Linked DNA regions of Oreochromis niloticus. The protein of the gene in region 3 purifies or fractionates together with the protein of the main gene of each other region. This does not show direct contact. Links are inferred from orthologs where the notes say so. Each region holds a gene or a part of one and is shown on either strand. Other genes may lie near its edges.

Region 1 (7,853 bases), about 8.7 Mb from region 3:
AAATTGTAAATGAAAAAAATAACATGAATTACCTATTAAACTTCCAGAAATGAATATTAAATTACAAAAACCTGAAACTTTTAACTAACTAATTATTCATGTAGATAGTTATACCTATTTTAGCATCAAGAGAGCACAACATACAAACTCCATTTACATAGAAAACATATTGCAGTCATTTCAAATATACCTTTGGTCTGATGACTGCTCTAATGGCCCTGCATAGCCCCTGCTGAGCAGATAATGACTAACCAATGGCCCTTTAACAGGAACATTAGTATTTGGCCAACCCTGCCACTTTGATTATGGTGCCAACATTTATCCTGGCTGTAGCAATAGCTTCAGTAGCAGATAAAAATAGTGAACTCTCTCACTCTTGCACTTAGAAGGGAAAAAACATAAACGTTAGCATAACAGGACAATCAGGAGTTGGCAGAGGGAAAGATGAGAATAGAACATGTTCAAATATAAGATTGATATCTAGTGGAAAGAAGTATCAAATGAAGGAAACTCAGAGGGGAGTATGTTACACCCCAAAACAGATGTGCAATTTCTCTTTCTGTGAGAGGTTAAATGGCATTTTTTTTTTTTTTTTTTTTTTTTTTTAAATCAGACACACCCTTTATGTTCCATAACAAGGGAGCGGCTGATGATTGTATATATAAAATGCTCCATGCTTGTTTTGGGGAATTTTGTCTGGTATACTGTGCTGTCTCTCCCAATTTCTAACCACAGACTTCGCTATTCACCTCTCTTGTTTTTCCCTCTGACACCACACGCCAGCATGAGCGTTACCAGGCAAGGCTATGTGACTCTCATAACCCTTTTAACGTTTCTACTCTGGCAGATTACAAAACTGAGATTCACTTCTATTTTTAGCTACAGGCTCCCAATTACAAAACTTTTAACAACATCTTAAATACAACTGAATACAATCAGATACTAAGTTCAAGACTGGCTTGTTTTCTGTCACACATAACACTCCCGGGCCACTGAAGTAAAATGAACTCACTTCCTAAACTTCCTACTATACACAATGGCTGTGGGCAGGCTGAGTAAGAGTCTCCAAAAATGTCCCCAACTTGAAACTAGAATTGAAAATATTACTGAAGGATATACTATATGCATACAAATTACTCTTTGAACAGCAGATTGAGTTAAGATGCTGAGAAAGAATATCAGGGTGAAAAAGCAGGATTTCAATGAGTATGGTAATTTACATCACTGCACATTAAATGTGAGTTGATCAAACAGCACTGATAGTCGAATTACTGCAAGAAGCTTCTAGATTTTTTTTCTAAAGAAAAATAAAACTCAAAAAAGCTATGTTTTAAGTGTAATAGACACGTCTGTAGTCAGGCTTGGCTGTAGTTTAGCTTCAGTCAGTTTGCTGCTTCCTCTCCGAGAGTGCAGCAAACGTCCTGTGACACTGACACAGTTTTTAAAAATGCAACCGCCAGTGGAGCCAACAACCCTGCTGGCAGCCACATTTGTGGGGAGAACACAGGAAGAAGGCGGAAAAAGGGGAGAAAAGGGAAAAGGAGCAAAACTGGATTGGATGGTATTATCTGCACATTCTTTTGGCTCGAACCCAAGAAATTTGAATTCTTACAGCTGAGGGAGGAGACTAGCAAGACACACTGATGTGAAACACGTAGCTCTCAAAGAACATCTAATCGGGTTATAAACTCAGACCAGAGCTGCAAGTGACTTTCACCAGCACCTTTGAGTCTACAGGATGAAATTTAAGAGCATAATATAGCTAAATAAATAAAATATAACAGTTTCTAATGCTGTGAATATAAATATTAATTTTAAATGTTTTGAACAGCTGTGAGGCTTCGATTGATATGCATCTTCCTCTAGCATTTGTGCTAAATTGGTAACAGTAATTAAACCGTAATTACAATATTTTTGCATTGATTTCTAGCATGAAGTACCAATTGCTTATGAACAGCCTGTGGGAGAGTTATCAAATTACCATATGGCATTTAAACTAAAGCATTTGCTGCTATTTTCAAAAGTTTTACAGCTAATGTGATGATGACAGCTAAAAAAAAATCAAACTCAACACAAAGAGAGCGGATGCATGCAGGCCAGCTACATCTGCCCCACGAAAACAAAGCCTCCACACAGAAGAAGAGGAGGGGGGTCCGTTATCGGAAAACACTCGGCAGTTGCCTTACTTAGAGTAAAACCTCCCCATAAAATCTACCTCTTAGACAATACAGACTAAAAGAAGACCCCGGGGGTAGCATGTTTCCACTAAGATAAACAAAGCGTTCAGTGTGACCGACCTTCATTGATGTGCATCTTGTCTCGATTAGCCTCTGTCTGGCTACAAAAGGATGCAACTACTGGACAAAATCAGGTCAGTAGTAAACAATAGTATTGATCTGGAGTGAAGCAGTATGCGGCCGGTGTTTTTACAAGGGCAGCAAAGTGGCTATAGTCTGTGCGGCTTACAAAGGTGGAGCAGGGTATGCTTGTCATGCCGCTGCTGACAATAGTAGCCATCCCGTTAGCCAAGAGGGAGTCAGACCAATCTGTTTAGTCGTTACAAGAGCCGGAGTGTTTTTTGTTTCCTAAATTTTACTCAGATTTAATACAGATTTAATGGTTTGAAAATTTGGGGGAATTTTCTATGAGCTCACTGAAAGAGGAAACTGACATCAGTGGATGTGCAGAAGGAAAGCAAAAGCGACTCTTTATATTTTTTTGTCTGCAGCAAACTTCACGTGAGTAACGGTCAACCACCTAGCTAAAACCATACTACGGGCTGTCAATTGTATACTGTTCGCTAAGAAAAAAAATCAAGTACACTCCACACTTACCCTTTCCTTAAAGATGTTTGTTGCTCTGTGACTGCGTGTGGAGCCCAGCCCTGTCGTTGCTGCAGTTCAGTCTGGCTCTATGCGGGGGCCTTCTCTCCCTCCGTTGCTCAGCAATAAGCTACTGACTCCCTGCAAAACAGCGGCGAGCGGACCAACATCCTGAAAGAGGCGTCAAAGTGACAAATAGACCAATCACTGCCTCCGGTCAGAAGTTTCAAAATAAAAGTCAAAGAGACAACAGGATACTCAGATTTCCGAGTTGAGGCGTCGATCATAATTTCAGTGGTGTTTTAAGTTTTAATCATACCGCTGTCACAGTATGGAAATTTGCTTCCGCTAAAAGGAAGTTGAGTTAGGTTTTTTGGGGGGGGGGGGTTTAAATTGATATTCATAAGTCTTCATTTCAGGATATTTTATTTCTCAAAATTAACTGGAAATTTTACGTTATTTTTGATTTATGTCATTTTGGAGTTATTTTCTCTGACTTTTTTTTAGATAAAAACCTGAAATTTTGATATATGGATGGCAAATAATGTTGGGGTTTTTTAGTGGTGGAAACGAGCTTCCATAGTAGATAGCAATTTTTCTGTTTTGTTTTTTGTGATGTGATGTGATGTGATTTTGATGTTTTTAGTTTGCAAAAAGAATAGGTTGAAACAGTTCTAAGAATGTACAGAATGTATGGTAATTAAAAAATGGTAAATGAGAAAGTTCATGAAACATCCTTCTTATTAGAGAAATTAGGATTAAAAGACAGCATTTATTCAACATTCAGACGGCAATTCATCCCGAGTGATTGTGTCACTGCCAAACAAGCCCGTCAAGTATGGCCTGAAGATCTTCTGGGTTTGTGATACATGTGATACGTTTGTGATACCATAGTCAGCTATGTCATCAAGAAAGAAATGGCTGTTGTACTCGATGTATCACAACAAAATGGGGGATGAAAATACCAGAAATGGAAAAAAACACTAATTAATCAAATTCTATAACAAGACCAAAGGAGGTGTAGATACTATGTACAAGATGGTTGGCACCTACACCTGCAAGTGTAAAACATAGAGATGGCCCATGGTGCTGTGTTACAACTTCACATTGCCACCCTGAATACCTACACCTTTTTCACAGCTCAGCACCCTGAATTCAAAAATGGTATTATCTGTGCTTGACAGGTCTTCCTCATTGAGCTCTCAAAGCAGCTTGACACAACACATATGAAAAAATGAGTAGAAGGTTGCCCCCCAACTGCAAGGTGTGTGACGTTCACAGTTTAAACGCTGTCTCCCCAGAAAGCTTTTAAATTACTTATTTATTTATTTGTGTATTTGATACTGAAATAAACGTAATATTCAGAACAATGCGCACAACTATAATCTCATGATCACCTGAGTTAAACCAGAGGTTCAACCAAAGTCTTTCTGTTATGAGTTTCAACTAAAAAGTTCAATATCATGTTCTAACTTATAAAGCCAAGATTGTGTGCATTGTGTCCCCATGGATCCTTTTATATTTTGGGATATGTGAAACCATTCTTTGACAAAATTTGCATGTAATAACCCTTAGTATTTTGAATAATTTATTATATGGGGAAAGTTAAAAAAAAGAAAAAAAGAAACTTGTATCTACAGTAATACCATATTTATGGAATTACTGTACCCTAGACCCAATGCTACTAAAAGCATTATAGAGATAAAGACTGATATCATAGATTAAATTACTTAAAAATATAAGTAAGAAAGACATGACAAGTCATTTTAAAGCCATAAACCCACTATAGCACTTCCCCAATAAAATTCCAAGCTCTTGCATCCTGTTAGGAATGAATGGATTTCAGGCACATGCCTGTATGTTTACAAAACTCTTTTTCCACTTATAGATAGGTCTGCTGCTGGTGCAATTGTAGACTAGTTCCTGATTCAAGGAGTGTGAAATAAAACGTTACAGTGTATTAAATATGGACAGATATGGATTATTGTAGGGCAGTCACTCTAACAGTACTCTACAGATGGTAAAGTAGCTGACATCACTGTGTACTGAGTGACTCAGAGGATTATACTGCATGTCAACCTCGTCTAAAATTCAAAATCCTGCGTTTTATTTTTAAAAGCTGATGTAATTTCCTGTGTTAGTGGAATTTCTCTCCCCAGCTTGACGGAGTTCATCCTCAGCAGCGCCTGCGTCCACAACTGCAACCGTGGATGCTTCCAACTCAACCAGAAGCGATGTCAGCCAGAACCGGGTGGGCGGGTTTCCTGGACTCACACTGGTTACGTTCCGGGGTCTTTTGTTACAGTACCACCACCTGGACTGTGCAGAGGTCATGCTGATAATGAAGGCTGTATCTGCTGCATGATATTCAGGAACCAATTACTACTCGAGATTATCAAACTAATTAGGGATGTGGCACTACAAGAAAAACATCCACCGCTTTTAAAAAATATGAAATTGCAGAGGTTGATCAAATGGCAGTAACATATAAAAGATTCATATTTGTTTTGCTTTAAAAATGGGAGCTCAAAATGGAAATGCTCATTGCATAAACGTGAGAATTATACTTTTAAATTAGCATTACAGCCTGTTAGTTAATTGCATGTTTGTATGTATTATATTATAATATTTAAAATACATTTTCAGATGAATTAAATATAAAATACAATAATAACATATGTAATAAAATATATGTTATCTGATACTGTCTATGATTTTATACTGTCTGAAAATTCAAACTCGAAAACGGTTCAGCCCTGTTTTGTCTGACACACTGACGCAATGACGCCCCCTCCCTGTTGACGTAAAGGCACTCGTTTTTATGTATGGCAGTGCCGCCGGGAAAAGCGGGACGTTTTTTCATGTTTATATTTGAACTGTACCCTTTTATGTATTATTGTTAAAGTATTCTTTTTCTTTATTTAATTCTTGTTATTTAATGATTTCGATTCCATAGGACATTTGTAAGTTAGAGTTTAATTTTGTTTTAATTTTAAGGTTTGATCTAGCGTGACATGGTGACTACAACATTTTATTAAGTCGTAGCTTGGTTACATTTTATACCCTAATTTTTATTTATTTGATATGATATTAAATGTGCTGAGAGAACAATACACTTTTAAGCTTTTGTAATGGGTTTACTTTATGTTGACACGACGGGACATTTCTTTTTCGGGAGGTAAGATAATAGAAATCGAACCGCCCCCGGCCGTTGGAAGCAGGAGCAGGAATACGCTGCTGGTGCAGCTGCTGTTAGCGAATGGACATACAACATGGACGATCCGCGGGATGTTCAAACTTCCAAGAAAAATGGGGGCTCCAGGTCATTGTTTTTGGCCGGCTCCGCGGTGGATATGGAGATTAAACGAAAGAAAATACGACAGAGTACTTTATTCCTACAAACAGAGGTATGGGCGGTACGACAGTGATTGTTTTGTATGATTTACCCAATGGAGTGGGTGCAAAGTGCACGTCAAACATGCGAATGCTGATCTTTTTAATTCACATGGCTTTAATAACATAGTTTCATGTACTGCGACTTGACTTGCTAACGCCCTTCTCAAGCTGGATTTCAACCCTCCAGGGCAAAGCTAGTTCGGGGCAGTGCCCCTTTTGTCAATATTCACTTCCCTGAAACCATATCCGTGTACGCTGCATCATCATTGTATGTTTGCTTCCTTCTAATACTGCTCCAACTAATCTCCCTGCAGGCAAAGAGCATGCAGCCGTGCCCTAGTCTTCTGAAAGACACTCCCCAGATAGTAGAGGATATGAATTTGTTGTACATACGACAGATTTCTAAGAAGCTACAGGTGCATATTGTTGATTGTGATATGGAGAATGATGACGTTTGTGTTATATTAGATGTGATTATAACAGACATCATCAAACTTCATTTAGTTAGAATATGTCTGCTGCATGCCTGCCAGTTTTCACTTGTTTTGTGCTTTTCGAAATGCCATTCGTACATTTCCATGCTCCATCTTTGCCATTAAAACTGCTACCCGAGACATCTTATTAATCTCATTCAGCTGGCATTGCCATCTAACCCCTTCATGCATGCATCATTACGTCACCGAAAGGTTGGTCTTGAGTTTGTGATTTCAAGCTTAACAAGTAATTTGAAACATCACCAGTGTATCATCTTAACTGTGATGTAGTTACTAGTGGAGCTAGAGCGGGGGTGTCAAATGATTGCAAGTCCACCAAAGGGTCCAAAAATTGTAGGGAAGTCAGTTTTTCACTAAAAATGCTTAATATTGAGATTCCAGCATTCCTACAAAGGAATGTAAATGTATGAAAAGTTAAAAGTACTTCTAAATGTTGATTAATTATTTGAGGTCTGAATCAGTTTTTATTGTAATACGTGAGCAAATTTTCCCTAGATTTTTCATCTGACATATGCCCTCATTAAAACAATAAATAAATAAAAAGACTAAAACTAAATAAACAATCAACACTAAACTGGAAAAATAAAGCTAACTGAAAGTAAGCTAAAAGAATAACACCCAAAAGGTTGATTCTGTTCATCTGGACATAGCATTAAATAATAACAAAAAAATAAATAAATCAATAAGTAAAAATTAATTAGAAAATACCATGAAATAATGACTGGTATGGCCCACTTGTGATCAGATGTGTGTGTGTCCCATGAGGTGAAGTGAGTTTGGACACCCTTGGGCAAGAAGATTTCCCAACAGCCATGCTGTTTAAGATCTTTTGTATTAAACCCAGAAAATGTTAGTTCTGTTGGTGCCAGAGTGACCGTGGATTTTGTTTAACAGCTGCTTTTCTTTAAAAATACCATTTAAGGTAAAAACATGAAAAAAATGTAGGTCTGCTGTGTCTTAAGGTAATAAAAACAATAAAATAAAACTTTTCAAAGAAACAAAATACAAGTTATCATACACACAAACAGATGTGCGCACACTGTTAAATGTAAGCCTATGAGAATAAAGGTTTTAAGTTTTGTTTTTGAATGTAGACATAGTTGCAATTGTCCTCAGGTCAGCAGGCTGCTTGTTCCAAAGA
Region 2 (7,980 bases), about 6.1 Mb from region 3:
GGGTGAAACAAGCCCATGCATTATGACTCAAATCAAGCTTAATTTATTTCGCATGCTCTAATTGAATATCTCCATGTTGATATGTATTGAATAAAAATAGCTGGATCATTTTTCTAATTATTCCCGCCCCTCCCACATTTTGTCTCACGGAACATGCATATTACACAGGGTTTTGTGGCTATTACATTTTTCATACAACTTGGTACTTGAACAACTCACTGGCTAGGCAGGCCAAATGGCTCATGTAGACCTGCTGCCCTCTGCTGGCAAAACTGTGAACCTCCAACAGTCCTCATGTGGACTAATAGTGGCACTCAAATCAGGCCTGTGCACACTGATGTTCTGATGCATCCATAGCTACGTTAACTCAGCTTATGCTAACTTGAGTTCAAATAACATTGTGCTACATTGCTATATTGCGTTTGTGAAATGTTTGTAGCAACTTTAGCATATTTAATGGAGTCGACATTATCTGATAGCGCATTCTTCTGCCTGAGGCTGACTGAACTCTCAACAGTTGAGATGCAAAAAGTACCTGCCGTTGATTCTGATGATTTTATCACCAGCCTTACACTGTTAGAAATACAGAGATAAAATCACTTAAGTACTAGCAAAAGTATTGAAGTAGTTTTCGCAGGTTCTAAACTTTGAAAGTAATCACTTTGCATAGTTTCTATGCAATAAATGTTATTTAAACTATGTTAATGCTTTTTTCAATCTTGGAACATTTGATATTGAGGATGCTGTGGGATAAATCTTGGTAAAGTTCACAATTTTTAATGGATTACAGCTCATATGCAAGTGAAGGAAGCTCTGTGCATGCTATGGCCCCCTAATGATGCCATCTGGGCATTAGATGTAAGAATATCTTAAGGCTTGGATGGTGTTGAGCAGTTGGTAGCTGCCAGCACTTGCAGGGTGTCAGACTGGTCAGAATCGTCTCGTCCGAACCACATAAACTGCTCCCCCGCCTGTGCCAAAGCTGCCTCTGCAGACTTCTGCCTGTGGTTGTGAGGGAAGCGCCGGTTTCTGGATGCAGAGTCAACAACCTCTTTCACTATGAAGTCACTCTGGTAGGCTGTGACGTTCCCTCGAGTCTCTTTGGTGCCATTGTCAGTTCCACCATGGCACAGGCAGAAACGGGAGATGTGCTGTCTGCGATCATCAAGACACCTTCTCCTTCCCACACTCTGAAGTACATCAACATAGAATAGAAACGGTCTCCTTTAAAGGTATAATGTGGTGAATCTTGTGTTCAGCAAAGCCTTGAACCTTTCCCTACATACTTACATGAGAGAATACAATGACGTCGTCTTTCAAGGCATGCTTGTTGTCATGGTCTGAGAAGGGATACTCTCTGGATTTCTGCAAGTTAACCCATAAAACACATACTGGGACAGCAACTAAATACACAACTGATAGCAAGTCCAAGAAAAACTATCAAGGCCACTGGCAGTGACTAAAAGGCCATGCCTTATCTACATACACACCTGCTGACTTTTCCATTTAGGATAGCGTTGAAAGTTTAAAGCCTGAGGCAATGATGACTTCACTTGAGTCAGCATGATCCCAGTGCTTGTACAGTTCTCTTGAGTCTTTGTCTCATTTTCTGATAAACCTGAATGAGCAAACTGGGAACAAAATGAAGGAAAACTTAATTACACATCTAGGTTTAGAATGCTATGATTTAATTATCCAATGAAATGAAGACTTCTTACCCATTTGCAATCAGTGCTCACTGAAAAATGCCGCTTTCCGCCTTTTACCATTTTCCCACTACAGCTTGAGGTGTTTAGACCACAATCAGTAAAACCAAACAAGCACTCCACACACTGTGCAACTTAACTACTAATGCCAACACTGGTGACCATGGAAACAGGCAGCAAACAAACTGCAATCAGATCCTAGAGATCGGAACTGAATTCTGATGATTAAAACAAAACAAAAAAACAACCCCAAACATTTTGAAATATTTCAGATTTGTGATTAAACAGAATGAGAAATAGCCCACAATGAAATTCTTAGTATTTAATATTTAATCAATTAAGGAATACAACATGCAATGTTTAAAATGATAGTCTTTGTTCAGGAGAGGGGATTAAAAAAAAAAAAAAAAAGGCATAAAAGTCTCTTTATTTTCTTTTACAGGTGATAAAGAAGACAGTAACACATAATTACATACAAGAGTGTACAGTAAACTAACACTGAGCTTGATTTTTCAAAATTATTAAATGTTTAATTTGTTGAACAGTAATTAAAATGTTAAAAAAAAAAACCCTCAAACAACTGAAAACCAGATGAAGTTGTTTCAAAGGTTAATTTATTAAAAGAAAAAGAATCATAGAACCAGAAGGGTTTGAAGCGTTGATCATGAAGACGACGTCCACATGTGATCAGCTAAACTTCAGGGTGACTTGTGATGTAAAATTAGGCACTAACTATACGTCACAAACAAATTTGCATAGTATAGTGGATCTTTAAATATATTTTTAGATAAATAATAAAAAATAAAATAGATCCATGTGAGCAATTTGTCCTAACGAAAGAAAAACAAACTACATTTTCATTATTTATGTCATCATTTCATCTATAAGCACTGGGGAGAAGAAAAAAAAGTTCTCCCTGGGATCTGAAGGGAATATTAGGCCTGTGGTGGACCCGAGACATGACACTGGTCTGGGAGTCCACTGTGCATATCTGTTGGAATATTGATCCCTGAGGACAAGATAGGCAGACACAAAACAATTACCATTGATTCTTTTGACCAAACATTGAATTAAAGGTCTTGAGCTGTAGATTAAAGTGGCTGGAAACTGTAAAAAAAAACATGACTTTGATGTATTCACTATTATTGCAACATTCATACATTTTAGAATTCATTTTAAAATCTTGGTACTGACTTTTAAAGCTTTGAATTGTGATGCCCCTGCCTACATTTCTGATCTGTTAGAACTTCACGCTCCCTCTCGCAGCCTGAGATCATCTAATCAAAGGCTGTTGGTAGTCCCACGAACACGTTTTAAGACCAGAGGAGAGAGATCTTTTAGAGCGGTGGCCTCCAGGTTGTGGAATGCTCTCCCTCCATCATTACGTTGCCTTGATTGTATTTATTCTTTTAAAAAGCAGCTTAAGACTCATTTATTTAGACTGGCTTTTAATTAGATTTGTGCTGAATGTTTGATTGTGCTATTTTTTTACGTATATCTGTATATTTTTATGTATATCTGTGTTGAATTGAATTGAAAAAAAATTCTTGCTTAAAAATAGCATTATATCAAAGTGGTTGCACATGAATTTCCTATTAAATTCTTAATTACTATTAGGTTTTATTAGTAGTTGGGTCCAAGAGTTCCTATTCAGTACTTCATGTACAGTAACTCTTATGAAGTTGCCACTGCTATCTAGTTAGATGGTTAAAAACAAACAGACAAACCAAAGAATATAATTTTGCACTATTCTCTTATTTTTCCATTAGCCTTTTGTGTATCATATTACCAGCTCACCACTAAGACACACCTTTCTTTAACCTACGACATAAAGCTTCTTAATTTAAAAAGCAAAAAGGGCGGCCTAAAAGTCAGCCATTTGTTTGCATCTAATGTGTGTTAATATCTATATGCAGATTCTTACTCTGAATGGCTGATGTAGACTGTGCTGCATCACTGGAAGAGTTGGTCAGTGTGGGCTCACGCTCTTTCCCCACACCTTTCTGGAGGCGCTTCTTCAGATGTTTGGTCAAATGTTGCCACCTGGTAAAAGGGAGCAGTCCCAGATAACTTTTCAGCTTTAAAGTGTGATTATGCTATCATATAAAGTTAACACGTTTAAATTTTTGAGCTTTGCAAGTCACACAGAACTCATTATCTCACCTTGCCTGAGTGACATTGTAATTATTCAGCCTGTCCGCTTCCTCTTTTTTTTCCTCCATCCATCGCTGCAATAGCCGTTCTTTCTCTCCCAGTGCATCTGCAAGAGCTTCCTTTAGGCATTGCCGATCCACACGCAGGGCTGCTAACTCTTTGGATTGACACTCTATGGTGAACTCATATTCTGAAAGGGCTTCCTTCAGGGTGTTACTCCCTTTAGCCAGAGTAAGTGCCTCTTGATGGAACTGAGACACACTGTAACAGCAAAGTATTATAATGGTGACGAACTGATCCCTTATATTCTGAATACAAAATCCCAACAATCGACCTAATCGACCTCCCAACCTAAGCTGGAAAATTATACTTCTTTATTTCAGTGGTTCAGTATTCCTATGAATATAAAATAAGTTTATTATATGACCAAATTAACTATTTACTAGGATTAATCGGCAACATATTGAGCAATTATGGGGAAACTTAATTTGAAAATTACCTTTACTAGATCTGAAATATACCATGAATTAACACTTACCTCAATCTGGTCCATCATGTGTTGCTTTTACATTGTCTGTGCGTTATTTTAATCTTGGAATCATAGTCGTACTGACCAAGGTATTTGAATTACCGTGATTGCCAGTACTGTAGTTCAGCTTCTTTGAGATGGAGGACGGTGGTTAGGTCGGAGACAGTTTGAGATAACTGGGTAGACAAAACAAAGGGTGGAGTGACCCAGTTCAAAAGCAGACAACAGCACACACCCATTAAAGATGATTATTAAAGTATTTTCTCCACTCCTCTGAACCAGTTGCAATAATGAATGTTTATTTATTTATTCATTTTTTAAAATAAAGTTCAAATGCTTTGAAAGTTGTTTCAGATTGTCAGATGTGGTGTTCGTGCATATCAATGCAAATATGCTGCTCTGCATTTTACGTAGACGTCTTCCCTGTAGTGGAGGTTTTGAGCCTCTGGGGCGTTTAATCATTGGATTACTCCTCATTTAACCCACCTTATCTACCAGGTGCTCACTCTCTCTCAGCTGGAGTCGAAGCAGTGTGGCGTTTCCCCCAACCTCAACTCCATGTCTTTCTAAACTGAAAAAAAAACCAAAAAAAAAACAAGCGTGCAGATTTAAAATACTTTACAAAAAAAAAAAAAAAAATCAAGCAGAGGACAAACCGATCAGCACAAGCGCCAGATGTAGGGTAAGTTAAATTCTGCATTTCTAACCTCTGAGACTGAACATCAGCCAAAATCTCTTCGCGAAGTTCAAAGCGTTCCTCCAGCTGAGACACTAAAAGAAAACAGACAAACGTCCTTAGGTTCTGATAGAGAGGACAACATCAAGAGAGGCAGAGAAAAGTTAATCTTACAGCTTGTGAAAACGCCAACAAACGGGAGCTTTTCTCTGTGGTCCCTATGCTGCAGCCCTTGGCGCACGTGATTCTTCCAACTTTCCATTATAATGGACACTTTAAGGAAAAACCTCTCACGTTTGCGCATCCAGAATAGACTATACTAAAGCAGCGGGAATACAGCGTCTTCAGCCCTCACATGAAGTCTGTGCCATCCACGCAGGAATTAAATGCACTCAGCAAAGTTTCACAGCTCCTCCCTGTTCACTGATCAGCGTGACATTCCTGGCTAGACATTCTTACAAGGATCCATATTGTATTATATTATATTATATGATATTATATTATATTATATTATGGACAGGAGAAACATTAGTACTCGAATATAATTACTTAAATGCTTAACTTGTCCCTCCACTGCTAATATTTTCATGACTTATCATCTCATAATTTATACAAAAATATCCCTGCACCTAAATGTTTTTGTTTGTGATACTTTTTTTTTTTTTTTTAAAAGTATCACAACTTTTTACGGGTTTTTAACAGCTGAACAGAATTGCACTGCAATTGTTTGCATACCTCACACTGAATCAAATTGTTTAAAAATAGAAAAATCACACCACATGCAAAGCTCACGTTAAATTAAAAACAGTGGTGTAAACAGTCAATTTCAGAATAAAAGGTATCAGAAGAACGTGCTCCACTTTTCCAGAAAGAACTTATGAAAATACTTCCGGTTCATCTATTTTTCACAATAAATCGTTTCAGATAAAATATTTTTCCTTGACTAAAACAAATATCCAAAGTTATAGCCTTCAAATGTAAATGTAAATATTTTAATATTATTGAAAAGTTTTATTCTTCGAAACTACTGATAAAATTAGTTTTGTAACTCTTTTTGCCTTGAAACAGGAAGTTGTTGTTGGCTTATTGCTAGCACTTGCGACTGCTCTGTCAATAGACTGGCTGCAGGCTACAGGCTTGTGTAAGTAGTCACGGAGCTAAGAGCTAAACATTAGTCGTTTACAAAGCAATGAAAACTGTTCGCCTTCGTGTCGTTTAGGTTTAATTAGTCTAGTGAAACTTTCATTTTACAGCTTTACGTGTCAGCGTTTCTTTATCGAGGAGCTAGCTTGTCTAGCTAACTAACTTTGCCAACATGTTGACTTACCTCATTCGTTGACTGATGTATAGACGGTCCACGGCTTGTCGAAGCCATGGATATGTTATTTGTTTATTAAATCGGAGTTGTTTGGTGAATTAGATCTTCGTATGTCCAGTATGAGCGCATCAACTGGAGACGGAGAGCCTTGCATCCCCTTGGATAATGCAAAGGAAGAAGTCAGTGGTCCTACCTGCACTGGAGACAACAGTAAACATGTAAGTAACTAGTCTGCAAGGATAATCTACCATCTAGTATGTTGTCATGTGTAACACTCATTAATTAGTATTTGAAGTGCTAATGTTGAGTTAGGCCACAGTGGATTTATAGTGCCATCTGTAAACATGCTATAGCTTTAGTGAGAGTGGGAAGCAGGTGAAGGAGAGCCTGATGAGGTGGTGGAATGCTCTGGAGAGAAGAATGAAGGTCAAGAGAAGCAAGCCATAATACGTGTGAGTTAATAAGAGCGAGACAGGTGACAGGGGAGCGAGACAGTGTAGATGAAAGGAGTAGAATTAGTGAAGGTAAAGGATTTCATATGCCTGGGGTCATCATCATCAAGTAACGGACAGTACACAAGAGCATTGAAGAAGCGAGTGCATACAGGGTGGAGAGGGTGGAGAGGAGTTCCAGGTGTGATTAGTGACAAAAGGACATCAAAAAGGCCTACAAACCTTCTGTGATATATGGTTTGGAGACTGCGGCACTGACAAAAAGGGCATTTGGGTATTTGCAGGAGAGGGATAGTGGATTCACTGGACAAAAGATGTTAAATATGGAGCTGGAGGGGAAAAAGGAAGACAACTGATGAGATCTGTGGATGCAGTGAAGAAGGAAATGCAGAGAGTTGGTTTGACAGAGCATGATGGTACAGATGGGTTGAAAGGAGGCAGATGATCAACTGTGGTGATCCCAAAAGGGTGCAGCTGACAGAAGAACATCAGTGTGCATAGTATACTCATGATAATCAACTGCCAGACATATCCTTATTTAAAAAGATAAGGCTTGGAGCCAAGATCTTTATCATACATTTCAGTAAAAACGAAATTGTTACTCTGTCAGTGCTGTCCATTCATTCTCATAACTTCACACTAATAAGCTTGATATTGTTATTTGTAGGAATCAGCAATATGCTCAGGCAGCAGTGAAATCAAAAGCCGTGCTGTGGTCAAGTACTGTGCAGCCCCACCACCTACCAGCTATGCCCTTCTGCAGGAAAAGACCGACTTGAAGCTACCTCCTGCCAACTGGCTGAGAGAAAACCCCCAGCTGGGCACCGCTGGGACCACTATATTAGGATCTAGCAGCAAGAGCAAGCCCTTTTCCAGGTATAACTTAGAAAAGGGGGCACGTATTCCGTTTTTATGGGAAAGATTGAATTTGAATTGATGTCAAGCTCATGATTGAGGTACATAGGCACCACTTTTATCATTACACCAAGAATAATATCTTTTGTTTAAATGTAATTTGCGACCCATGAAGACTGATACTCTATCCACAATAAACAAGGTGTGGAATAGAGTATTGCATAGTTGCAAAACTATGGTTCAAACTCACAGTGGAGGACTTTTCACTACATAATTCAAAGTACTAAAAC
Region 3 (7,567 bases):
CTGGGAGCTTGACTGCTGAGGAGTACTGTATATTTAAAGAAGTCTCTGCCCGACACTCATAAGACAACAGGTTTATTTAGTTTTTTGACACGTGATCTGAAATAAAACTCATATGTGCAAATACAAACTAAAATCCATATATCTTGTGTTGATTTCACATAAAGAGGTAGTGCGTGCACTTACAAAATCAACTACCTAATTTTAAAAGTGAGGCAATGAAACAAAAAGAGACTTAATTCATTGCTGTTCAGCATCTTTTACTGCACTAGGTGCATATGTGAACACACACGTACATTGTATAAACATTAAGTAACCAATATTAAGTAGATCAATGTAAAAATGACAATGATTTGGTAAAACTGGATATTTGTTGTTCACTTTTCTTGCTACAAGTAGCAGCCTTCTGAAAGAGAACATTCAAGGCACATTTAATGCTTTGGTGATGAGTCTTATTGACTACCGTTTGCTTTGGTGTTCTCCAGTTTTTGATGATCCATAATCTTGATGTTCTTTTCAGCATTTTCAACATTTCTCAATAGAGTCTCCAGCCTCCGCTTTATGTTCTTCTGGTCCTCCAGAGCGCAACCGATCACAATGGCCTGAAACTTCTGGTTGATGGGAACGGCCGGTGCTTCAGTCACACATGCGGCGTGCAGGGCCAGCAGCTTCTGCCTGCTCCCCTCCATGTCGTCCAGCAACTTTTTCACTATTTCATCTATGATGGATGTGGCTTTTTGTAGCGCCTCCTCCTGCTGCGGGTTTCTGATTGTCCCAACAGAGATTTCCACAGACAGCGTCCGGCCCATTAAACGGTTTGCAGTTAAAGTTAACTCCTCTCTCTCTCCTAAGAGACACAACATATGGGGAAAAAAAATAAATAAATACTTTCTCTTTAAGTGAAAAGATTACCACAGGTAACTAGGTTTTGTAAGGGGTAGCATGTTGGCTAGATTTATCTAAATTCAAATCCTTGCCCTTGTCTTTATTATCTGAAGTTTCCATGTTCATGACTGTGCTCAATCTACCACAAGCCAGGGACACAGTTATTTTATGCAGTGTAAAACAACAGGGTGGGCTTGCACATCTACACTTCAGATCTGCAAGGCCATCTTGTTGCAAAACCTTTCTAAAAAATTCTCTGAGAGACAAAGCAGCTGGTGTAAAAACAATCTACAGCAGATAAATAGTATCAGAAAATCAAGTCTGCTGAATTTGAATTTTCTGCCTCAAACTGTCATCAGTATGTATGGAGGAGGTTGCGAAAGAGATACAGCAGTAAGTATCAGCGGTGTTAGGGATCTTGTCAAAATTGATGAATTATGAACACAGAAAACTACCGTCAGATTTTGATCCACCATGCAGTACCATCTGGAAAGCATCTGATTGGCTTCATTTTTCAGCATGACAATGATCCCAAACACATTGCTAATGGATTAAAAGCTAGACAGAGGAAACACATAGTGGAACACTATCTGTAATGGACTGGACTCCCCAGAGCCCAAAGCACAACATTACTGAGCAGGGTGGGATCGTCTTGGCAGAGAACAGAACAAAAGGCAGTCGCCCAAATTCTGTTTTGCCACATAAATTTTGTATTTCCATTTATTTTTGCATGTTTTACTACATCACTGCACTTATTTCCACTTTACTGTCAATGTAGAAAGAAATAAGGAGTGGCTCAAGACTTTTGCCTAATACTGTACACTGTAATGATTTCTTTGCAAGTGGACGCTTTCTTTGAAAAAAAAAAAAAATGAAATATGGGTAATCAGATACAGACTGCAGGTGGTTTTCAATGAGCATGTTCAGCCTAGTTTAGTGCCTTCATTAAAATGGAGGTTGATGTATAAATGACATCCAGGAGCTGCAAACAACTACCTGGGTGGAACTCTTTAAATCCTCAGACATTCACGAACCCACCTCCACCCAACAGAAAAGTTCACTTTCAAAGCGTGTCCTCATTGGATCACAATGTTGCAGTGGCATCAGAGCAGAAATACAGGAATTCAAAACAACAAAATGATACTAGGAGGCTATATCTTTATAGTGACATCAACCAGCGCGTGACTTTTGCGTTCAAGTTGTGATAGTCAGCAAACCGCCTCACCAGCACAGATGTTACGCATTTCTTGACTGTTCTGTAGAGATTGAATCATTTCCAGGATGCACTCCCTTTCCTGCTCCATGGCCGATGCCGCTTCGCGTAAAGCCTCCACCCTGTTGGAGACAACAAAGCATGACAATAACCATCCATTGAAAAGCATCCTTAAACTGCGAGAGTAATGATTATGAGGCTGTGAGCTACGAACTAAAAGCAATCCACCTATAAAACATATGCGTAAAATGTGATCATTAACTGTTCTCGGAAAACCGCTAAGAAATTAAAGCTACTTTTATGGCACATTTTAAGCGCTATAATAACTTATTATAGAAGATGTGAGTAGTCATATATATCCCACAAACGACAATGCTTGAATAGGTGGCTCAGCATAAAGCACATGCTAAGGCCCGTTACTTAACTACCTCATTTCGAGCTGGTCCAAACTTTCCAGCAGCCGCCCCGAGCGATCTGCCATGGATAGCGTCCTGCTGAACTTGCTACAGGTAGCCTCGTTCATCTTCGCCTGTATTTTTGCCTGAGCCATGATGATGAATACCCGTCACAAGGCTGATCCGTTCCGGAGTAAAAACAAATCCCGTGTGCGGTCAACTCCGAGCTGTCCAGCTGACTGTAGCTCCACCGGCTGCTGCTGCAGCGCCCCTGGGAGAACATTTCCAAACATGGGCTGCAACTTCCTTCACTCTCTCCTCATAGAAGCTTCCCGAGGAGCCCAGAACTGTGCTCTCAAAACTAGGGTCCGAGGACCCCCTGAAGGACCACGGAAACGGCCGTCCGGTCCACAGAAATACTAGCTAGGATTTAAAATAGGATAACAGTCACTATTTTTTGTCCAACAAAATTAGTTAATAGACTTTGCTGAATCCACCACCAACCTTTTAACTCTGACAGTGATTTCTATCAATGACTCAAGTACTATAAAATATAAAAAATGTATACTATAGCATAAATTCCTTACATTAAATGAGGAGTTTTTCCTCACCAACAAAGGCAGCTTCACCTCTGGCACTGCAGTTAGCCTGAGATGCAATTCTACAACAGGAGTGCTAACCTGTATGTGTCATCAAATATACTAATATCTCAAAGCTTTTGCTCTTTAGCTGACTTGCCCAAAATCAGATATTTGGCTTGTAACAGCCAAGGGGATGAAAAGTTTCATGGATATATTGCAGTTGATTACAACACGATGATTCTAAATGCATATTTTCAGTGTTAATTCATAAAAAGGAATTGGCTACCCAGATCAGTGTATGCAGGGATGAGCAGTTAATTTTATCCAAGAGCCCACATTATTCATGTGGGCTCTTGGGAACATTAATTGCTGGGTATACAAGTTTTACTCGAGTGTACTCTTAAGTGTGTGCGCCAAATTAACACATTTCTGGAGCACAAAAATTATGTGAATTTATATTGCAGACTTCTGGTATCACAAAAGCTTTTTCCTTAAGAAAAATAATCTAGCATTCTTGCGTAGAAAGATCAGGATTCACATGACACCATGCGAAGAGAGTCTGTGACATACAATACACTGGAAAACAGAGCGCAACTGGAGACACAGCACTGTGGTCACATGTTCAGCTCAGGCATCTTGCAGTGTGGTGGATGCCATCTATAGCACACGTGTCGAAACACTCTGGCTCCTCACAAGTGTCAAGCTTACAAAATTGCAAATCTGCACGGTTCAGTTTGGTGTCCACTTACTGCAAATAATGACAAACTCAGAAAAAGTAAAAAAAAACCCAAACAGGACAAACATTTAATTCTTTATTATATTCTGAACACGTTACCTTGTACAAAACATTCTAGTATAACGTTCGATGAACAGCATGTTACAAAAGCACTACCGACTTTCTCAGAACTCCAGGAGGCTTCTTTTGAGAGCTTCTTCCAACTCTGTGAAAACAAATTACACGAGAAAACCTTCATTCATACCAGCATGGCCATATGGAAAACACTACAAACTGCATCATTTCAACAACACAGAACATTTTATGTTGACCATAATGTCATAACTTTAACATTTCTATTCTTTCATATCTCCAAATCTATTTATAGTGATCCCCAAAATGTTTCCTTCGTCTTTGAGCCAGCAGAGCCTTTAGGTCATCCACACTCCCCGCCCCCCTCTTCATGACGTCTCACAGGTGCCACAAAGATCGACTCTCACTCCGTGCCGACATCATTCTAACATCTTCTCCTGGGAAAAATATTCTTTCAGTAGGCAGCTGCTTTGTTTTAGATTTCATGTTTTGATGAAATCTAAAATCTGGACACTGATTGGAGTTTCAGCATGAACGCTAAATTTGGACTTGTCTGAAAATAACACCTTCAATAGCTGCAGACTTTCTGTGCGTGTTATTTGCAAATTTAAGCCTAGCTGTCCCAGTCTGTGAGCTGGATAGTTTCCACTCCCCTCTACCCACACTTCGAATAGTCTTTGAACTGAGCTGTGTCTGTAATCCTGCTCAAAGCACTCCTCTGTGGTGTTTCTAAGCATTTTCTTGTAATCTGATGGTCTTTCTGAGTGCCTTTTGTTCCGAGGACTGACTTCTCTCTTCATCTTTCTGAAAATATTTCATAACCATGGAGCATTGAAGATTGAGATGGTCGGATGAACGTTGTGTCATCCTATGCTTGAGCTCACGTCACCGTCTTTTACTGTTTGTCCCCAGTAGGAAGGTAATTTATGAATTTCTGAAGAGCCTGTTTACACAGATGTAATTCATCACATTACTTTCTGATTTAAGCAGCAGGTTCATGCTTTCTCAAATGTAAGCCTGACATCATTTTAGTACACAAAACTACAGACAAGTTTCTTTTTCATCAATTTGATCAAACACATTCTTTGTCTCGACATTTGTTAAATGTGTTCAAATTCCTCCAAGCAGTGAGTCACGGTTTGATTCCTGGCCAGCCAGACTGTGAGTGCACATCACACTGCATCCCATATTTCCTGTCTGTTCCTATCTAATAAAAGAACAAAAAAAAACTCTCCCAAAAGGCTGGGAATAAACCTCACTAAACCAACTGTTCAAATATTTTTTTAGGCCTGCATGTTATCCGTCGACATTTTCATTCCTTAATGTGCAGGGCAATGTTAACAATCACCGATTGCATAACGTACTGGATGTTTATCTCAATACAATAAATTCAGCAAAACAGACAATATGTTGTATTGTACTGACTTACAAACTGTTCAAAAGAGAAAGAGACTATATCCTCAGCCCTGCATACACATACCTGCTGACTCTTGCGCTTCTTCTGCACTCAAAGACAGCGCGCGTTTCATTTCGTCATCCGATTCAACTGTAACAGAATACAGAGTCGTTTATCCAAGCAGGACATTCATAGGATTAAATATGCAAATAATTATTAGCAGTTGAGCTAAAGGAAGAGTTCTCTTTAAACAGACAGCCGTTAGGGTCTCATGACGAAAAGAGATAAAAAAAACGAAGTAGCATTTATTTAGTATCTAGCCTTTTCTTTCTAGTTACAGGTGACAACAAAATTATTAGTCCCCTATGAAAATTAACATTTTGTCCATTTCAAATTTGTCCCAGTGCTTTTTCAATAGAGCTAAGGATTTTCAACATAGGATTACTAAACACACTAGTTTTCTTTAGGAAGCATAAATTATTTGTATTTGCACACAATAACAGAATTGTTTAAGAAAAAAAACAAAAATTACCAGGGTCAATAATATTAGCTCCCTGAGAAAACTGGCCTTTTTATTTAGCTATAGCAAAAACCACCACTGTCCAACGATGTGCTTTATTTTTGTAATGCTCAAAGCTTGTAAAATCATTAAAACTGTGGGTTTATCTTCCAATTTAAAGAAAGCATAAGAACCTCAAAAAGAGTTTGAGTTATCACTTGAAAAACACCTTTGTCAAAGTGAAAGAAATCCTGAAGGAAAAAAAGATATGAGAAGATTTTTAAAGAAAACCAGGAAAACTGGGTCTGAGCAGTTACTTTGTCTTCCAACATGACGACATAAACAATAAGTCACTCCTGGTGGAGAACTACCTCCAGAAGACCAAAGTCAACATTACTGGCTGGACTGCTCAAAGAGCTGACTTGATGTGGGTTAAACAGAAGACCAAAGTCTATGCCAGGAGACCATCAAATCTGAAAGCATTTGAGAGACTCAGCAAAGAGGAATGGACTGGGATTGCTCAGGCGATGTGTGTGAGACTAGTTGAAAACTACAAACAACTATTGCAGGCTGTTATCCAGCAAAAAGGATACACCACCTATTAGCATCAAGAGGACTCATCACTTGTCTATGGTAGTTTGTATAAATAATTTGGTTCCTGTGTGCAAAATAAAAATAATGTAACCAATAAAAATCTAGGATTTTTGAAAAAGCTGTGATTAAAATTCCTTCCTCTGTTTAACAACACTTTAAAAAAAAAATTCATTGGGGGACTAATAATTCTGGCCTCATCTGTATATCAGTGATATATGTATAGTTTACTGCCTACCTTCCTGCACTTCACTCTTGTCATTGGTGTGATCAGTGTTGAAAACTGTCAGCGTTTCGTCGTCAATCTCTGCAAACATGAATACAAATTAACATTCAAACACAAGACATTAAATGTGAATCAGTTTAACCGATTTACCGTTGCTCTCTGGTTTATTCTCCACAGCATTAGGTATTCTTGGAGTGGTGGGTTCTGCTTTCGAGCCTTTCCTGCAGGTCCTGGAACTCATGCAGGGATCCAGTGTACAATGTTGCGAGTGGTAGTGTTTATGGAAACTCGGTACATCCATAAAACTCTCTTGGCAGTCTTTGCATCTGATGTCAAAGCTCCTGTCCAGGTTCAAGGCTGTGTGTTTTGTGTGGACATGAGTCTTGATCTGTGCATAGGATGGAACAGATACATCGCAAGGCACACAGATGTACTGGCATTTTTCTTCCGCAGCCAGATTCCTCATGCATTGTGTGTAAGTGGCTTTCATGTCTGCTTTACTTTTTTCTGAACCCATGCACGGGCATGTAAACTGACTGGTACTCTCAGCGGCAGTGGCGGCATCTGGTTGAACAACTTCAACGTCATCCATGCAGTAGTAGTCCTTACTGTGAAGATTCTTGTAGTGCTCAAAAAACTCCTCCTCAGATCCGAACTCCATGCTGTCACAGAGGCCGCAGAAATAGGAAGTTTTTATGACCCCATCATGCTCATTCATACAGTGTCTCCGTACGGTGGACTCTTTGAAGAACTTCTGAGGACAGTGTCCGCAGACGAATCTCTGAAAGCTGTGACTACTAACATCGCTACAGTGTTTGCGGACGGCAACCTCCGAGTCAAAGACATCCTCGCACATCCTGCACATCCAAGACTGCTCTACTTTTGATGAAGACACCTCTGTGCTCAGCTGGACTTTGGCCACAGACAAGGAGTGAAATGTGATGTCACTGCTAGTGGATGGCTTGACATCAACGAT
Region 4 (7,836 bases), on a different chromosome or scaffold from region 3:
GTGTATTCAGTCAGCAACAGCTCTGATCTGCTGCCAGCATCTGACGAGATGTCAGGCTGATTTGGGTCGATGAGGGAGAAGCAAAGAGAAAACCTCTAGATCCAAACAAAGTGCCCAAACAGGACATATGAGGCAGTTGTTTTGACATCAACAAACGCCTGAGCAGGCGTCACTTTGAAGCCACAGTGACTATTTTTAGGCCCTCCTTATCTCCCCCCGCACTCACAGGGCACGAGGCCTCAGCGCCGAGCAGCCTCGGCTCGCCCACGTGCGATTTACAGTACATTTATGCAACGCACTTCTACTGCGGCCTTCATCCCCCCTCTTCCATCTCCCTCGCTCCCTGACTTTTCCCCTTCCACCCACTGTTCCCTGGAAGCCAGTTTGTTCCTGCTGGGAGGGATTGCATCATGACTGATTCACAATCAGGCCATGACTCTCCGACCAACTCCAGGATTATGGAAAATAAGCAAACCACAGAGACACTGGGGGTATTATTACAAGGTCTGAAACTGTATTTGGCAAGTTTTTTTCTTAAACAAGTGCATACATGTACAGCTAGAAGCATTTTTTGTTTCATTTATTAAAGGATTTTGCCAAGTGCTCAAATTAGTCACATTCTATGCTCGACAGGGACTGTCTGCAGACCTAAAGTACAACGACAGACTGAGAAGAAACAGCTGTGGTGGGAAAAAGGAAAAGTCTTACTGGAAACACAGTAAGAAACAATGTATTAAAGAAAAAAGTCAAATTTTACTGCCACATTTATGAAGTATACACTCCCCTGCGTTCACTATGTACATGTCTGCCAGCTCCTCTGAGGTTTGCTGGGTGAGCTGCGTCTGTTACTTTATGTCCTGCTGTTGTTGCCATACTTGGGTTACAAGAGGGAAAAAAGTTCACGAGAAGCAGTCTGAGAACTTTTTAAGGGTCCCGCTCCTTTTTTACCTTTATATCTCCGGCCAATATGGTGGTTATTTCCCCCTGCATGAAGGCCCAGGGTACATTGGAGCCAACCAGCGGGCACCTTTCACCACTGGGACAGTACACCTCGCCGGTGGCCCCCTGCTGCTTGATGCTCTCCCGGGAGCAGGGGAAACAGAACTTGTGAGAGGGCACTGAAGGGCACTGGACAAAATGAGTGTCCTCTAGCCGCTCATGGCACAGAGTGCAACACAGCGGCATGCTGCTCGGTGGCACAGAGGAATCCGGAATGCTCTGCGGCGGTGGCTCCATACTGCCGGGACCATGCGGAGCGGAGGGGTTGGCGCTCACGGGCCCCTCTCTCTGGGCCAGCCTCCTCTGTGAGGGTGAGAGGGGGCTCCCGCTGTTCCGTCGTGCCCCCGCCACGGTGGAATGTACCTGGCTGCCGTCCTTAGGTGAGCCGGTGCTGCCTGCGTTGTCAGTGGCGAGGATGAGTGCAGTCATGGGGGACTGGCCATTCTGCGCTGTGGCAGCCTCAGGCGGTGTGGTGCGGGAGTGGGGGGAGATGGTTGATGGAGGCGCCGCAGAGAAGCCTGGTAGGGCAGCTGGGGGCATCTTCAGGACTTCAGAGGGTGAGGGGAGCCATGGCTGGCCCTCACTGCCATTCATCTTGGGGGCACTGCTCTCACCATCTGGCTCAGGGGAGGCCTTCCTCTTCCCAGGCCGAGGGTGCTTCCCCCTGTCTGTGCAAAGGAAAAGCAGCAGGGTTAACGCCACGCTAGGTACACACAAACATCCCGGCCTGTGCAGAATACGAGGCAGCTCATTTCTACCCCCCCCCCAACAACCACACACACACCTGCTCCCGTACTGCTCTCTCACACAGAGGTGAACGGGTGCGTGCCAGCAGCGTGGCTGGGCGGACCCTTCACGATGGCGTAAATGCACGACACACCGTGTGTGCAAAGTGCTGACACATTAGTTCCCTGCTGTTTAGTTCCCGTTTTCATGGCGCGTGCCAGCTCACCACATTCTAGTGCAGACACAAAACAAACAGCCTACCTGTTTTTGAGGAAGTGCCACTCATTTCGTACGCCATGACCCGCTGCATGGCGGTGTGGTCCTTCTTTACCCTGCCGTCGAACGTGTGCAGCATCAGGTCCCTGACAGTTTTGCCTTTGTTTATCCAGTCCTTGTGGCTGTCCGACATGTCCGACATGCTGTCCGCCCGGTGCTTGTCTTTCAGCTCCTCCGGGCGCTTGCCGTGCTCCCCGGGGACAGGCGCGATCAGAGCGCCGGTCAGACCGATCTGTGTCGGGCGGCCGCTGAGCGGATGTATGGCAGGTATCCCGCCGTTTACCAAAGGCACCAAGCTGGGAGGAACCGTGCTAGTCCTGCGGGGGTTGGGGCTTTGGCGGTTTAGCTCAGGGGGCTCGTCGGGTTTGGGAAATCCGTTGGGCATCGGGAGGCCGTTCGACTGCCTGCCCGCCTGGTACTCCGGGCCCAGCCGCGGCGGCCTGTCTGACAGCGGATAACGATCCAGAGGTTGAGGGGGACGGGAGCCCGGGTCTCCAACCGAGTGATTGATCTCTTTCCCGGCGTGCTGGGGTTTCCCCGGGCCCGGAGAGCGGCCGTCCTGAAAGCCGTGTGCTCTCTTTAGCTGCCTGGCAGTCTCGATAACGAATTCAATCCGGTCGGCACCTTCGTAGTTCACACATCCACGGCAGACGGGTTCGGTAAAATCCCAGATCATCGCCCACGGCATGCGGGGCAAGTCGCATAAATAACAGGACTGCCTTCTGGAGGCAGCGACCGCCGTGGAGGACATATTGTATCCCCGAAGCGATTTCAAAATGTCCGACAGCTTGTTTACGTCGCAGAGAAGACGGAAAAATACGTCAACGAGAATAAAAGTGGCTGATTTCGTCCTCACGAAGAAGAACAGAGCACCATAGCTGTAGCTGTTCCCTCGGCGCGCCTCCGTCTGAGCTCGCGCTTACAACTCAGCTCCAGCTCTCAACGTACGGCCGTGACGTCAGCAACGACACTCGGCTCGTGCTCCGGGGTTCTATTTACTGGATTCTTCGACGACGCGCATGCTCACCATTTTTCTATCTTTGTCCGGAGCGTTTACTCTTGAAGATGTGTATGCCCGCGAAGAGGGACCACTCTGTGTTTTATTGGGACCGTAATAAAACACGGCAGCGATTTGTCTAAATTGAACAGCTATTCAATCTAGAGAAATCATTTCACTTTGATCTGTGTCAAACTGAAGTAATTTCCACATCTCCAGGCTGTGGGACTGTAAGCTTTTATGTTTAAATGGATGCAATTTAAAGTTTCACAGCGCTAATGTGCTGCCATCATCTTAGAAGCAAACTGCAGCACTGAGAGTGCACTGAGACACAAAATGATCAAGTGAAATTAGTGGAAAAAGCTTTATTTTATCGCTCTGTGCGCTACATCTCTAGAATAAAGATTTTCTCTGTCATTAATTTCAATTCAATTCAATATTGTTTATCACAGTAACAGTCGCCTGAAGGCGCTTTATATTGTAAGGTAGACCCTACAATAATACATACAGAGGAAAACCCAACAATCATATGACCCCCTATGAACAAGCACTTTGGCGACAGTGGGAAGGAAAAACTCCCTTTTAACAGGAAGAAACCTCCAACAGAACCAGGCTCAGGGAGGGGCGGGGCCATCTGCTGCGACTGGTTGCGGTGAGAGAAGGAAAACAGACCAATTTCTTATCTTAATTGCAACACTGATTCTTTTTGCTGTTCATTTTTAATGTTCTTTAAAGACTTTAATCACTACTTTATCATCATCTGATAATGTCTTCGATGGAGTGAGCTGCATTCAAAGGATGTTTTTCTGAAAGGTGTTCGTTGAGCCATGTGACTTGAGAGATTTTGTTAAACCAGTTAACACAAAGAAACCCCGGCTGTATTGAACTTCCTTTGTAACACACCTCTCAGGCCTCACTGAGTGTTTACAAAGCAGGACTGTTCAGAGCTGAAAGATGAAGCCATCTTCATGTTCTGTTGTACTAATATGCAAATTTAACTCTTTCTGTATTAGTGGTAAAATAGCAAAACATTAGAGATACATCAGTAGAACCTTGAAAAATATAAACAACAATATTAAAATGGCAGCAACTAGTTAAATACAGTCCTCTGTGTGTGTGTAATTTAAACTCAGTGTAATGAGTGTACACATGTAAAAAGACAATAACATAATAAACAAGGCTGTATGTGGATCCAAATGCAGCTTTTAAAGACACCGGCGCCGACCTGCTTCACGACATATTATACTGGGTTTCAAAAGGGATGCGTGGAATTAGAGGCAGAGTGAGACCTCTTTTCTCTCAGCTCTCATCTTTGTTTGCAGGGCTCCAAGTGTTTTTCTAAATACCAAAGATGTAGACAGTGAAAAAATAATCTTCCGATTTAAATAATCAACTCTGCAGTGTCAAGGCAACCAGTGTTAAAGCAGTTCTGTTTAGGAGTTCGGTGTGACGCTGAGTGGGTGTTAAATCCCTCTGTTGCATTCCAGTCTCGTTGCCAGGCACATCTGACATCACCACTGTAGAAGCCAATCCCAGAATTAAGCTGCTGTTACCAGGCAAACTGTAAACCTCCCTCCCCTCTATTCAGTCTTCTGCTGAGCTGAGCTGATCATTTTCCTCTCACTGGTATGAAATCACTTCCACTGCTCTCTAGTTTCTCCTCACACACAAGTTATAGCAATAGAAAGCAATGACTCAACTGGCAGTAATTCAACGAAAACCTACTTTTTGAAGTAAAATATGATAGAAATGGAAAGTATTTTAAAAAACTGTAGTAATAGAAAGGCATTAAACTTAAAGTGATAATATATCCAGTTGCATTAAAATTAGCATCTATTTTCAAGTTTATAAAATGCAGGTAAAGCCCAAAGGCACAGGATAATCAGCATAATTGATTAGAATTAAGTACAGTGTAGAAAACTGGTGATGAAAACACCTGTGAGACATCATATAGATGTCCATTTATCCATCTATTTTCTACAGTGACACCCAGATTTCACTCTTCCTGGTCATCATCTCCAGATCTACTGGGTGGACACCACAAATCAGCCAAGAGATGTAATCCCTCCAGCATGTCCTGGACACCATCCACAGCTCATGGCCATAGTTCAGGGTAGAAACACAGACTGATACAACATAGGAACATAAACGATTGACTGGTCATCCACCAGCCTATTCTTTTTCCATTTTAGCTCTATTTGACTGCAAACTATCCCAGTATGAGCTGAAGATCACAGCCTGAGGAGTCCAAAGGAACCATATCATCTGCAAAATGCAGAGATTTAGCAGAGATAAGCCACCAGAGTCAGCCCCTACTTGGCTGAGCCTAGAAGTTCTGTGCATTAAATTATGATTAAAGAGGTGACCTTGGTCCCAAAAGCAAGAATTGTTGGCCAAGACTCACTCAATTCAGTTTATGTATCTAGTGGCAAATCACAACTATAGTCGCCTCTACATTGTAAGGTAGAGACCCTACAATCATCATCTCTCCAGTCAGGCTTACAGACATCATGACGTGTCTCACTTACTCAGTCAGTGATGGAGGCAATGAGGGAAAGAAAGTAAGAGGGAAAAGGCAGAACAATGTATCCTGTTTTGCCAGTGTAACACTGGCCGCTGTAGGCAAATATGTAGGAGCAGAGAACTCTTTGCATTCTGCACGACAGTCAAACATGAGCTGCATTTAGTCAAATCTTCAGTGGGAGAGGAAGACAATGGCAGATCTGAAATCCAGTAAGGTTACATGAAGTGTAACCTCTCAACCAAAAGGCTACTTCATCAAAGATTTTGGAGGAGTAGGGGAAACATCCTTAAGAACCTAAAAAACAAGTAGAAGTCCAGTTGCTTTCAACTCAAGTGCTTAAGACTGCCATGATCTGAATGATGGGAAACCTATACAAAGAAATAAATGAATGTGCTCATTAACACTCCGAGGTCTCACTTGAGACTTTAACTTCAGTGTTGAATCCATAGAGCCTACGCAAGTGGCCGACACCATTGGAAGCATTTCTACTTGTATGTGGTGTTTCTTTGTTGCACTGCAGTTTTCTGCCAAAACACTAACTGTTGGTGGAGTTTATCTCTCTGTTTCCTTCCAGTTAATTAAAAACCTGCTGAGAGGCCAGAAATGGATGAGAGGACTATGACAACACAACATGTAGTTACATTTGTCAAGGTTAGGGGGAGGTCAGATTAAGGTTTAGTCTCTGGACTTCTTTAACTTTCTTGAAGATGTTTCACCTCTCGTCCAGGAAGCTTCTTTAGTTCTAAGAGCAACTGGTGTAGAGTCCCTACCTCGTAAGCCCTATTGGGAATGTCCCAAAGAGGGTCGTGGACCCCCTATTGATCCTCTGGCTAATCACACGAGCCAAGGTGTGAAAACGGGTGTGGGTCACAATCAGCCAAGGTTTCAGGTGAACCCACTGTGAGACCTTGCCCACCCATGTCATGTGACTTACTGAGAACAAATGGCCCAAGACGTGAGTGGGCGTTAAGGCATCTGGGAAGGATTTCCAAACTGGACTATACATGGTAGACAGTAGACTCAGGCATGTAGGAATGATTATTCCTACTCTCATTACCCAAACTTGAGAGAACATTTTTTAAACATATCAAGAATTACTGTACTTTCTAATGAAGCTCATATGCTTTAATGTGTGCAGCAAGATGTTGGAGATCTTCTTCTGTGGTAGTGAGTACCATCTAGTTTGCTGCTGTCTGCTGGGGGGCAGCATCAGTGCCAGAGATGCCAGCAGGATGAACAAACTAATCTGCAGGCTGGAAGCATCATTGGTCAGAATTTGGAGATGTTTGAGTCAGTGAGGGGCAGGAGGTCACTGAACCTACCCTCTCCATCAGGGACAGCCCATCACACCCACTCCACTCCATACCTCTGAGGCAGCAGAGTGATTCAACCTCGCTGCCATAAAGAACACTTTAGAAAGCCTTTCCTACCATTCTCTATAAAGCTGTAGAATAACTTCATTCTGTGACAGGTTTACACACCTGTCAGGCAAAAGATTTTCATTAATGCAATCTGCACTTCTCGCCTACACAACGTCAGTCTTACTTTTACTGTTTTTAACTAACTTCATTTTGATTGTCTTTGTTTTGTTTTTTAACACTGATGTAAATATATAAATTCCTGCTCTGTCTCATAGTATAACCTCCTTACCACTCAACTGTTATTTTAAATGTGTAGTTTATTGTTGTTTATTGTGCAAGTTCAAACTATGCAAAAAATTATAAATAATCTAGAAGTGCATTCACTTTTTCTGGGTCTGAGCTAATTACAGATGAACTGACGTGAAGTGGAAAACTCCAGTTAACTGACCAGTCAAATGCCCAGTTTGCCTTTTGTCCCGTGTTCCTCCCTTTATTCCCAGCTGGTTGTGGTAGATGGCTGCAGTAGCTCAGTAATCTCTTTAAGAGCCTCTGTGACATGGTTAATAGAGTTTTGTCATGGTGTGTTGTTATATGTGTAAGTGATTAAAGTATGTGTGCTGTTCATAGAATGTTGTATATATGTATATTTGTATATATTTAAATATTTATTTATTGTGTCATGTAGTTTTTCACATGGTTTGATATCCCCAGATGTAGGCTATTCCAGAAACTCAAATGAGGCAGATAGAGTATTAAAGGAAGACAGCTGCTCTATGAGGGTTTGGTGGGAGTTAGTGAAGTCCTGTTTTTTGTTTTTATCTATTTGATGTATAGCGCTTGAGTGTCCTAATCAGGATTACATCATAGCTAATTGTGTCTCAGTTTACTCGAAAGCCCTTTTCCCAGTGACCTTTGACTCTCTACAGATCAAAGGCAAGGGTAACCTCTGCATG

What was found.
Region 1: the proteins of bag2 (region 3) and cep170aa purify together in Homo sapiens (affinity purification with mass spectrometry; 3 studies listed by BioGRID and IntAct, with this or other methods). This does not show direct contact. The link is inferred for Oreochromis niloticus from reciprocal best matches to the Homo sapiens genes BAG2 and CEP170.
Region 2: the proteins of bag2 (region 3) and edrf1 purify together in Homo sapiens (affinity purification with mass spectrometry; 3 studies listed by BioGRID and IntAct, with this or other methods). This does not show direct contact. The link is inferred for Oreochromis niloticus from reciprocal best matches to the Homo sapiens genes BAG2 and EDRF1.
Region 4: the proteins of bag2 (region 3) and irf2bp2b purify together in Homo sapiens (affinity purification with mass spectrometry; 3 studies listed by BioGRID and IntAct, with this or other methods). This does not show direct contact. The link is inferred for Oreochromis niloticus from reciprocal best matches to the Homo sapiens genes BAG2 and IRF2BP2.

Annotation. Positions count from the first base shown.
Region 1 is NC_031978.2:11,267,196-11,275,048, forward strand, and holds the start of cep170aa (centrosomal protein of 170 kDa), read right to left. Parts: upstream 3,010-7,853; 5' UTR 2,835-3,009; intron 1-2,834. Other genes in the region: rtkn2 (rhotekin-2), read left to right, coding at 6,095-6,229, 6,533-6,634.
Region 2 is NC_031978.2:13,922,893-13,930,872, forward strand, and holds the start of edrf1 (erythroid differentiation-related factor 1), read left to right. Parts: upstream 1-4,965; 5' UTR 4,966-5,071; intron 5,072-5,096; coding exon of another isoform or gene 5,097-5,160; intron 5,161-5,239; coding exon of another isoform or gene 5,240-5,369; exon of another isoform or gene 5,370-5,521; intron 5,522-6,116; exon of another isoform or gene 6,117-6,206; intron 6,207-6,485; 5' UTR 6,486-6,493; coding exon 6,494-6,601; intron 6,602-7,502; coding exon 7,503-7,711; intron 7,712-7,980. Other genes in the region: tex36 (testis-expressed protein 36), read right to left, coding at 870-1,190, 1,291-1,365, 1,491-1,631, 1,719-1,769; si:ch1073-143l10.2 (autophagy-related protein 16-1), read right to left, coding at 2,642-2,715, 3,631-3,749, 3,870-4,121, 4,492-4,565, 4,876-4,960, 5,097-5,160, 5,240-5,369. UniProt on the Homo sapiens protein: Transcription factor involved in erythroid differentiation. Involved in transcriptional activation of the globin gene.
Region 3 is NC_031978.2:19,992,801-20,000,367, reverse strand, and holds bag2 (BAG family molecular chaperone regulator 2), read right to left. Parts: upstream 3,012-7,567; 5' UTR 2,646-3,011; coding exon 2,524-2,645; intron 2,218-2,523; coding exon 2,108-2,217; intron 845-2,107; coding exon 450-844; 3' UTR 57-449; downstream 1-56. Other genes in the region: E3 SUMO-protein ligase ZNF451, read right to left, coding at 4,743-4,822, 5,360-5,425, 6,604-6,672, 6,742-7,567. UniProt on the Homo sapiens protein: Co-chaperone for HSP70 and HSC70 chaperone proteins. Acts as a nucleotide-exchange factor (NEF) promoting the release of ADP from the HSP70 and HSC70 proteins thereby triggering client/substrate protein release.
Region 4 is NC_031971.2:4,315,711-4,323,546, forward strand, and holds the start of irf2bp2b (interferon regulatory factor 2-binding protein 2-B), read right to left. Parts: upstream 3,018-7,836; 5' UTR 2,753-3,017; coding exon 1,987-2,752; intron 1,668-1,986; coding exon 925-1,667; 3' UTR 1-924. UniProt on the Homo sapiens protein: Acts as a transcriptional corepressor in a IRF2-dependent manner; this repression is not mediated by histone deacetylase activities. Represses the NFAT1-dependent transactivation of NFAT-responsive promoters.